3 linked regions of the Sus scrofa genome follow. The protein of the gene in region 2 interacts with the protein of the main gene of each other region in a pairwise test. Links are inferred from orthologs where the notes say so. Each region holds a gene or a part of one and is shown on either strand. Other genes may lie near its edges.

Region 1 (3,654 bases), on a different chromosome or scaffold from region 2:
TCATTAGCCCAGAAGCACTGATTATTCAGGGCAAACCGACAGATGTGAGTACCTCTCTTAAGACATTTATCAGTCACCGATACATGAGTGTGTTGAAATGGTGACTCTTTTATTTTATTGATTTATTTTTTTATTTTATGGCCACGGCACAGCATACGGAAGTTCCCAGGCCAGGGATCGAACCCACGCCTCCACGGCATCCTGTGTTTACAGTCAGATTCTTAACCGCTGTGCCATAGCAGGAACTCTAAATATGGTGATTCTGATGCTTATCCTATCTTACCTCAGAAAGTTTCATGACACTTTCTCAAACAAGTGTTAATCTATGCAGTTTTGCGTCTACATACTTCTGGACTATCTTTCCTAAATCCACCCCACTCCTTCTTTCTAATTTTTAGTAGTTTGGGAATCTGAGGGTCTTAGCTATGTACATATTAGCAAACAAAGTAGATGCATCGAATGTGTCCAGATGATGCAACATATACTTAAATTTGGTTTCAAGATACAGGTCAATCATTCTGGAGGAGACGTTAGCAACAGCTCATATTTAGATTTAATTGGGGGGATTATTCTTGAAATTGACAACACTGCTCACCTTTAGGACAGAGGCTAAGCTGGTCATGTGTTCATTGAGGGCACCCTCGGATTCCTTGTAGGTCAAGCATGTGAACTGATACTCCTCAGGATCAAAGGCATCAGCCCCCTGCTGCTCCACATCGCTGGCTACTCCCACGTAATAGTCCTCTATGTCCCCAGGGTCTTCGTCCTCTTCCTCTTCTTCACAATTTGGGTCATAGTCCTCTTCATTGCTGTCAGACCCCTGGCTATTCATGTCCACAGACATCTTAACATCCAGCCAAGATGCAGATCAGGAGAGCAGGTTTTTCCCCCTCCCCCTAAACTTTACCACTTTCTCAAATACATTAGTGTTTTTGTCTTCTAAGGGAGGAAAAGAAAAAAATAAGTGTTAATTAACTTTCACTATGAAAAGTTATAACAGAAACCATTCAAGAATCAAAATGGTGGAGTTCCTGTCATGGCTCAGTGGTTAACCAACCTGACTAGTGTCCATGAGGATATGGGTTTGATCCCTAGCCTTGCTCAGTGGATTAAGGACCCAGCATTGCCGTGAGCTATAGTGTAGGTTGAAAATGCAGCTCGGATCCAGTGTTGCTGTGGCCAGCAACTTTAGCTCTGATTCGACCCCTAACCTGGAAACCACCATATGCCTCAGGTGTGGTCCTAAAAAGACCCCCCCCCCAAAAAAAAAGAAGAAGAAGAAAAAGAAAAATGAAAGCAGCACAGCCCTAGTCCTACCTGCATTATATGGCCTATTCTAACTTTGTTCTCATACATGAAACCTCAACATCTCCCTGCCCAGGCTTTCAAAGGGAGACCCTTTCCCAGATGGACAGAAGCAGTTAACGATGGTAACTTCACATGAAGGGTCTGGTGTGAAAGAGTAAGGCTGTGTGCTCTATGTCAAGGAGTCAAACCCCCATGGATGTGTCCCTCCTGCCAGAGTTAAGAGAGAAGCACATCCCCACAGCTGGTGCCCACAGGGAAACAACCTAAAGGCTGAACTACCAAAGTTTAAAATCTCTTAGCCTATCATGCCCCACTGAGAGGTGACACAGACAGTTCTTTCCCACTATAATATCTAGGGAAAGAATAATATTGTTTTACATACATCACTGTCAGATATATGGGGGAAAAGGTGCACAGTATAGACAAAATAAAAGTCAAATAGTTCTTCAACCTCCTCCTCCTATCTGCAAAGTTAAATAATTTTTCTATTTTAAAAGGTTCTACTTAATCCTTTAAAAGGGGCACTAAGAAGCAAAGAAACTGGCCCAGTAATGAAAGAAAACTAAATATTCTGCTTTCACAGGATCATAGCTAGGAAAAGCCAGAATCTACTTATCATGAAGAAATAAGAGATCAAATGCAACTAGCTACTGAAAAATCCTCACAGATCAAAATGTTACTCAATTACATAAAAATGAAGAGATTACTAGTTTAGAAAGCAAAACAATCACAAGCCTAAATTTCATCTCAGAGAAGATTTTTGCAAATACCCATTAATTTCCCTACACAAGAACTACTTCATGTGATCATTTCCAATGAACAGTATCATTGTATATTTAAATAGTGATTTAAATATAAAACTAGGAGTCCCTGTGGTGGCTCAGCCGAAACAAATCTGCCTAGTATCTATGAGGATGCAGGTTCGATCCCTGGCCTTGCTCAGTGGGTTAAGGATCTGGTGTTGCCATGAGCTGTGGTGTAGGTCACAGGCAAGACTCAGATCTGGCATTGCTGTTGCTGTGGTGTAGGCCAGAAGCTGTAGCTCTGAGTTGACCTCTAGCTGGGAATTTTCATATGTCACAGGTGCCCCCTGAAAAAGCAAAAAAACAAACAAACAAACAAACAAAAACAGAAAAAAACCTGTTTGATAATCTCTCCAAAGAAAAAAAATCAACCACAGGAGTTCCCCTTATGGCACAACTGGGACGCAGGTTCAATTCCTCAGCCCCTCATAGTGGGTTGGGAATCCTGCATTGGCAAAGCTGCAGCTTAGGTATCAACTGCAGCTTGGATCTGATCCCTGGCCTGGTAACTTCATATGCTGTGGTTAGGCCAAAAAAGTAAAAAAAAAAAAAAAAAATCAACTATAATTAAAACCAAAATTTTTAAATGAATGTGTCCTGAAGATATGGCCAGTCAAAAGGACTACCAAGCCACATTTTACTTATTTGTTCATCTGGCCAAGCCCACAGCATATGGAAGTTCCCAGGCCAAGGATCAAACCTGCCCCAGAGCAGTGAACCAAGCTGCAGCAGTGACAGTGCAGAACCTTAGGAACTCCCAAGTTACATTTTAATGATATTATAAAAATATCATTGTCTGATGTTACATACAAATGCTCGAATTTTTCTTTTAAAAAAGTCACGTTAATGAGAGGGCAGTTAACATACTTGCAGTTTGACTTTTTTTTTTTTTTTTTTTTTTGTCTTTTTGTCATTTCTTGGGCCGCTCCTGCGTCATATGGAGGTTCCCAGGCTAGGGGTCTAATTGGAGCTGTAGCTGCCAGCCTACGCCAGAACCACAGCAACGCAGGATCCAAGCCGCGTCTGCGACCTACACCACAGCTCTCGGCAACGGGTCGTTAACCCACTGAGCAAGGCCAGGGATCGATCCCTCAACCTCATGGTTCCTAGTCGGATTCGTTCACCACTGCGCCACGACAGGAACTCCGCAATTTGACTTTTAATGAATTGTTTCGTATGGCAGAACCACCTAATCACAATTGAACTCAACTATGGTTTTTTTTCCTTTAGGAGAAAATTAAAATTTAATTAAAATTTAAAATTTAAATTAAAAATACCTGTAATTCTTGAAGATCTTTCAGGAAGATGTCACCCAAATAGCCTATATTGTATAATTTCCATCTAAAATAAAGAGATATAATTCTATTTATATACTTTTAAATTGGTACCCTAAATTTGCTAATTTATTTTTTAAAAAGTAAACATTTAAAAGGACAAGCAGCAAGGGACCAGAAACTATTTTAAGTCCCATAGAAACCCATATGATATAATTACATATTGACAAGAGTGACATGACCTTCTAAGAAAAGAGTTAAACATCTGA
Region 2 (2,583 bases):
AGTCTCTGCTTTGAGTTTTTCTGAATAGATACTACGAAGTAGAAGTGCTTGATCATATGGTAATTCTGTTTAATTTTTTGAGGAACCGCCATATCGTTTTCCACAGTGGCTGCAGAATTTCTTTCCTAAGCCCCTGACTTCTTTTGATTTCCTTATTTTCTCCTTTTCCAAGCACCCAGCAATGACATTCTCCTGTACTTGCTAAGAGCTCCCTAAGAGAAAGTGTCTATCCGTGTTCCCATTGTAGCTCAGTGGGTTAAGAGCTTGACTAGTACCCTTGGGGACGCAGGTTCGATCCCTGGCCTCCCTCAGTGGGTTAAGTATCCAGGTTTGCCACGAGCTGCACATAGGGCTTGGATCTGGCATTGCTCTGGCTGTGGTGCAGGCCAGCAGCTGCAGCTCTGATTGGACCCCTGGCCCAGGAACTTCCATATGCCACGGGTGCAGGCATTAAAAAAAGGAAAAATGTCCATCCTTCTCTTCCATAATTCTCAGATGTTAAAGCTGAGTTGACTGTTTGCAGCAACATGAATGGACTTAAAGGCATTATGCTAAGTGAAATAAGTCAGACAGAGAAAGATAAATATTGTGTGATCTTACTTATATGAGAAACCTAAAAACAAAACTCATAGGAAAAGAGATCAGACCTGTGGTTGCCAGAGGTGGAGGGTGGGGGAAGGGAAAATTGGATGAAGGCAGACAAAAGGTACAAACTTGCAGTTGTAGATAATGACTTGGGATGTATTGTATAACATGACTACAGCTAACACCACAGTGTGATAGGCAGGAAAATTGTTGAGAATAAATCCTAAGTGCTCTCATCACAAGGAGAAAAAATTTTTTCTTTTTTCTTTTTCTTTTTTTTTTTATTATTATCTATATGAGAAGGAGGATGTCAGCTGAACCTACTGTGGTCGTCATTTCACAGTATATTTAGTTCTCATTGTGGTGCAGCGGAAACAAATCTGACTAGTATCCATGAGGATGCAGGTTCGATCCCTGGCCTTGCTCAGTGAGTCTGGGATCCGGTGTTGCCATGAGCTGTGTTGTAGGTTGCAGACGCAGCCTGGATCTTGCATTTCTGTGGCTGTGGCATAGGCCAGCAGCTGTAGCTCCAATTCAGCCCCTAGCCTGGGAACCTCCATATGCTGTGAGTGTGGCCCTAAGAAGCACAATGTATTTAAATCAAACCATCATGCTGTACACCTTATTATTATTGTTATTTTGGCTTTTTAGGGCCACACCTGAGGCATATGGAAGTTCCCAGGCTAGGGGTCGAATTGGAGCTACTGCTGCCAACTTACAACACAGCCACAGCAACACAGGATCTGTGCCGAGTCTGAGACCTACACCACAGCTCACAGCAATGTTGGATCCTTTAACCACTGGATCAAACCTGCATCCTCGTGGATACCAGTCAGCTTCATTTCCACTGAGCCACAACGGGAACTTAAACTTAGTGATATATGGCAGTTATATTTCAATAAATCTGGAAAAGTGTAGATATAAATTTATAAGTGATATATATATAAATGATATATAATAAAAATTAGTATAATTATCAATATAATAAAAAGAAGCTGAGATGGTCTTTAGGGCTCATCTAACCAAACTTGACTATTTTTTTTTTTTTTTTTTTTTTTTTTTTTTTTTTTTTTTTTGTTGTTGTTTTTTTGCTCATATGAGTTCAGTAGGTCAATCGAGCTGTAACGCTACGCAGACACAGCAACGCGGATCGACCGCGTCTGAACTACCATAGCACGGCACGCAGATCGTTAACCATGCCAACAAAAGATCGGAAAAACTGGACGGGACCTATCAGAGGACTGATGAGAGGCAGCTGGTTGTTGGTTGCACCGCAAAAGCCTGGGTCTAGCTCTTGGGACTGCCAGGCCCCGTGTCCTTTTGGGACTCCACTCTTTCATGAATCCACAGCTCAGTTGCCAGGTGAATACAGGTGCCATGGGTGTCCCTGTTTATGGGTCTTCCTCGGAGTGGAGCAGAGGATGCCTGGGACCCTAGGGTGGGGGGCAGGGAGAGGGGGAACCCAGACCAAGGGCCTAGGAGGAAAATGAGCTTTTCAGAGTGGCCCTTCTCTTGCCCAGGAGAAACCGCCCTACAACCTCAGGGCCTTCAACCTTCGCATCAGCTTCCCGGAGGAGTACCCATTCAAGCCCCCGACGGTGACGTTTACAACTAGGATCTACCACCCCAACGTGGACAGCGAAGGCCAGGTGTGTCTGCCCATCATCAGCAACGAGAACTGGAAGCCCTGCACCAAGACCTGCCAAGGTGGGCTGGGCCCTGCCAGAGGAAGGGACCCATGCTGGATGGGGTCAGAGGACCGCTTTTGAGTTAGAATAGCCCAGAAGGGAGGAGATAAAAATTGTGAGTCTAGGCGTTCCCATCGTGGCTCAGTGGTTAACGAACCCAACTAGTATCCAGGAGGACTCAGGTTTGATCTCTGGCCTTGCTCAGTGGGTTAAGGATCCGGTGTGGCTGTGGCTGTGGCGTAGACTGGCAGCTGTAGCTCTGATCAGATCCCTAGCCTGGGAACCTCTATATGTTGTAGGCACGGCTGTA
Region 3 (4,203 bases), on a different chromosome or scaffold from region 2:
CCTTGTTTTAGGAAAAGACTTTGATGGAGACAGAGACTATGTTTTGAGTCTTACTATAGGCGTTTTAAGTATTCATAAAAATTCCATTACCCACCTTATTTTACAAATAAAGAAACTGAGATTCAAAAAGACCAAGCAATGTGGTGGTTACACAGCTAGTTAGTGGTGGGGTTGATTTTCAGACTTTGCTCTCTATCACGCCCGCTGATTTACTACATCGCAATCCATATATACATATTCATTCAAGGTACCGTGGCCATTACACTTGCTTGACTTGAATAGGTTTATAATTAGCTTATATATGAGATAACACAGAGGTTCATTTGCATTTCCTCATTTTCCAATTAAGTTCAGTGGAAGAAAGTAATTCATTTAGGAAGGACAAATGGTGTTAAAGAGAGCCCACTATCTCCAGTGCAGAAGGGACTCTAGTTAACATTTGTAAAGTGGAAGGGGCCCAAGTAAGTTTGCCAAAAGGAGGAATATGGAAATCCTGCCTACGGCCAGAACAATGGACATAGATTTGTCAAAACAAAGAACAGTAAAGTGAGGGAAGGCAATTTATCCAGCCCTTGTTGTGCTTGCTACTTCATGACTATTTTTCCAGTTGCTAGTTTCCTATTCATTCTAACAAAGAAAAAGACCAAACAAAAGATTTAACATTTTGCAAATTTATATTACCCTTTAGCAGAAGCAAAACAATGCAAACAAGTTATAAGCATTCAAAATCCAAACCAGGGAAAACAATCAGATAACAATCTCCAGTTGCAAAGCTACCCAATTGTCTCTGGTACAACTTAAAAGTTTTAACACTAATCTAGACTAAATTTAAATGTAGTTATCCTGAGGTTCTTTCTGACCTGAGCTAATCAATGTATTTCATACCCTACACAATGACATCTTGGCTTCCTGTCTTGGCCTTGGGGAATTATGTCAATGAGCTACATCTGGACAGCTGGGCAACATCAGTAATCAGACAGGAGGTAAATTAGTCTTGAGTTTAAAGTACAAAGCTGAAACAACAGGCCCTGAAAATACAGCCACAAAATAATGCTCAGGGTACTCTTTCTTTAAACATTGTGTGGGCTGCAGATTTTTTTCTCTCTGGCTTTCTTCTGGGCTTTTCAGTGTTAAAAACTGCTTCTCAGTTGCTTAGGCTATAGGTGTCAAGGACCACCTAGATCCCTTAAAGATATTTTGTGCACTTGCATTTATAATATGATACTTCTTTTTTTCCTGGTAAGCCAAAAAGTGCTTATTAGCATTAGGATACTGCCTTGGAGCGTCACCAAACTAGTCCGCGGGCCAAAGAAGACATTGGGTAAGTTTTCACTTTTGCTCTACGCAATCCCTCCCCCCACAAGTCACCCTCACACATTCAGGCACACACAAATTCACAGACCCAACTCCCACTAGTATTTATTCAGGCACACATTAACACATTAAGGACGTGCCAATTTTACACAGGGATTTTGTTTTTAAACTCTTCCTAGAAACTACCACGGTTGTGCACTAACAGCGAATTTTAGTTAAAGAGTATGCATGTGGTTTTTAAGACAGTTATTTTTATCTCTACTTCCTACCGATGTGGGAGGCGGTGCGCAAGGCAGGTAGTCTGTTGCAACCTCCGCCACTTGGTTACTTGGGTTTTAAACGGCTCCATTCCCCGGTTTGAGGGGTAAGGTTCAAGCCCCAGACCCCACCCTGGAGGGCTGTTAAGCTCTAACCACTACAGAAAGTCACTTGGACGGTCCAGTTTGATGATTTTTGAGGGATTTGGGTGTCTGAGTTGGGAAAAGGGAGGTGGGGAAGGAAGGACAGAGGCCCCCCCCCCCTTTTTTTCTCATGAGACCTCAGCGGGCGTTCTGGAACACGTGCACAGAGCCCGCAAAACAAAACCAACCTGGGTTCTGGGCGGAGAAGGAAGAACCTCGGATTAACTGAGTTGAGCGCGATAACTGCTCTGAGGGAGTCCTCCGCCTTGGGCCCAGGAGGGTGCTGCTTCTCCAGCAAGCTCATCCTCCGCGGCAGGCGAGCCCTGGCTCCCCGCGGCTCGCGCGCCCGGATTCCCCATCTCGGGGTCTCCGCACCTGGACTTCAGGAGGAGCCGGCTCTAGGGGGCTGCCTGTTGCTGTTTTCTCCTCCTGAAACCCTGTGTCACCTTCTGCCTTATCCCATGAACCGCATCCGACGGGTCCAGGTCTCTTCCTGCAGCAGTTTCCTTCAAGCTTTGTATTCTGGAACCACCCTTCCTCCCTCCCATCCCACCGCTTCCCTAACATCGCTCTCCCCAAGGGATGGGCGTGCCAACCCAGATTCCCTGGCACTTACACGTGGCCACAGCGGGTCCGGACGGGATGGTGCAACACTTCGAGGCATACGGAGCAGTCGAAGGACGTGACGGGCAGCGCGGGGTCCCCCCTGCGCTCCAGGGCCCGTGGGGTGGCCGAGGCGGGCGCGGATTTTCCGTTGTCGCTGCTCAGCACCGACCCCATTGCTGCGCCTCCCGCCCAGCCAGCGGCCAAGAGCTTGGTGCCTGCTGCCTGCTTGTTTTGTTGTCCAGCGGTGGAGGAAGGAAGTCCCGGCCCAGCTGCGATCGCCGCCTCCCAGCGCGCCCAGCCAGTGCAGCTCAGAAGCAGCCTCCGCCGCGGCGCCGAGTGCGCGGCCGCGCGTCTGAGACTAGCTTTTGCCAGCTGCCTTAGTTGAGGCGTGGAGGCGGAGGCGGCCGCCGCACATTGCACGCTGCGACGTCCCGGGCCCCTGGGAGGATTGAAACCTGACACCTCAACTGCAGAGCAGAGGACCTGGTAAGGCAGTGAACCTTCCAGCCAAGTGCGCGCATCCTTCTTCGAACCACTGTAGGAAGTGAATGAAAGAGCGGGCGTGGTCATGTGCGCAGGGAATCAGAGCACATCCACTTGTAAGGTGATGGCCCTATCAGTGCTGTACTGTTGTGATCATAAGAGGCTACAGAGCTGAGCTATGAGCGTCTTCTAAGAAAGTGCTCATCAGTGCTTCAGTCACCTAATGAACAATCCATAAAGGAGAGGTAGCTGCAGTAGTGGAGAGAGTTCTGGGACCTGGACTCGAATCCCAACCCCAGGGCAGGGATGCTAGTGCCAAATCCTAGGACCCCTCCTACTCCCGCCCCCGGCCCAGTTTCCTCACCTTAGGATCGCCTGATGTTGTTTGTATTCCCCTCTCCATCCTCCTGAATACGACCAAATATATCATTTATTAATTCACTCATTTAATAAGACTTATTTAGTGCCCGCTGTATGCCAGACTCCTTTCTGGTGAAGTGGACAGTTTCCAACAAGCAAACAAAAGCCCAGTCTTAACAGACCTTAAAAAGATTTTTTTTGGAGGTAATTATAGATTCACACTCTTATTGTAAAAAATAATCTGGAGTTCCCGTCGTGGCTCAGCGGAAGCGAATTCCACTAGGAACCATGAGGTTGCGGCTTCCATCCCCGGCCTCGCTCAGAGAGTTAAAAATCCGGCGTTGCCGTGAGCTGTGGTGTAGATCGCAGCGGCGGCGGCTCGGATGTGGCGTTGCTGTGGCTTAGGCGGGTGGCTACAATTCCAATTAGACCCCTAGCCCTGGGAATCTCCATATGCTGCGGGTGCAGCTCGCAAAAGACAATAATAATAATAATAATCGTCCGTGGTAATACATAATCTACGTAGGCAATATACACAGACCATAATACATAACAATCCGATAAACTTCACCCAGTTTTTCCCAGACTTTACTTTTAATGAAAAGATATCAGTAATCAACAAATAAACAAGTGAACAAGTTCATTTCAGATGATAAGAGCCAAGAAGATAAAACAGAGTGAGGGGGGTAAAGGATAAGACTGTCAGGGAAGGCTTTTTGGATGCAGTGACATTTTAGCAGAGTTATGAATAATGAAAAGGAGTCGGCCACTCATAGATTTAGGAAGAAGCCTGCCAAGCATTGGAATATGGAGCCAGGCAAGAACACCACTAACAAAAGCCAGAAAGAAGCAGAGACGGGGCCTAATCTACCCCCCAATCCTACACAGGGTAGGACCAAGAATTTGGGTTTTATTCCAGGTGCTGTGATTTGATTTACTCTGACTGCAGTGTGGTTTGGAAAAGACAGGAACAAGAATGGAAGCAGAGAAACCAGTTAGGAGGCTACTGAATTAGTCCAAGGGAGGATAATAATGACCA

What was found.
Region 1: the proteins of UBE2L6 (region 2) and ARIH2 interact in binary tests that used the Homo sapiens proteins (3 or more experiments, as listed by UniProt). The link is inferred for Sus scrofa from reciprocal best matches to the Homo sapiens genes UBE2L6 and ARIH2.
Region 3: the proteins of UBE2L6 (region 2) and RNF125 interact in a two-hybrid assay, tested with the Homo sapiens proteins (3 studies listed by BioGRID and IntAct). The link is inferred for Sus scrofa from reciprocal best matches to the Homo sapiens genes UBE2L6 and RNF125.

Annotation. Positions count from the first base shown.
Region 1 is NC_010455.5:31,572,890-31,576,543, reverse strand, and holds part of ARIH2 (E3 ubiquitin-protein ligase ARIH2), read right to left. Parts: intron 3,454-3,654; exon of another isoform or gene 3,453-3,453; 5' UTR 3,389-3,452; intron 940-3,388; 5' UTR 845-939; coding exon 596-844; intron 1-595.
Region 2 is NC_010444.4:13,364,037-13,366,619, forward strand, and holds part of UBE2L6 (ubiquitin/ISG15-conjugating enzyme E2 L6), read left to right. Parts: intron 1-2,105; coding exon 2,106-2,292; intron 2,293-2,583. UniProt on the Homo sapiens protein: Catalyzes the covalent attachment of ubiquitin or ISG15 to other proteins. Functions in the E6/E6-AP-induced ubiquitination of p53/TP53. Promotes ubiquitination and subsequent proteasomal degradation of FLT3.
Region 3 is NC_010448.4:115,856,353-115,860,555, reverse strand, and holds the start of RNF125 (E3 ubiquitin-protein ligase RNF125), read right to left. Parts: upstream 2,860-4,203; 5' UTR 2,496-2,859; coding exon 2,332-2,495; intron 2,263-2,331; exon of another isoform or gene 2,020-2,262; coding exon of another isoform or gene 1,904-2,019; intron 1-1,903. UniProt on the Homo sapiens protein: E3 ubiquitin-protein ligase that mediates ubiquitination and subsequent proteasomal degradation of target proteins, such as RIGI, MAVS/IPS1, IFIH1/MDA5, JAK1 and p53/TP53.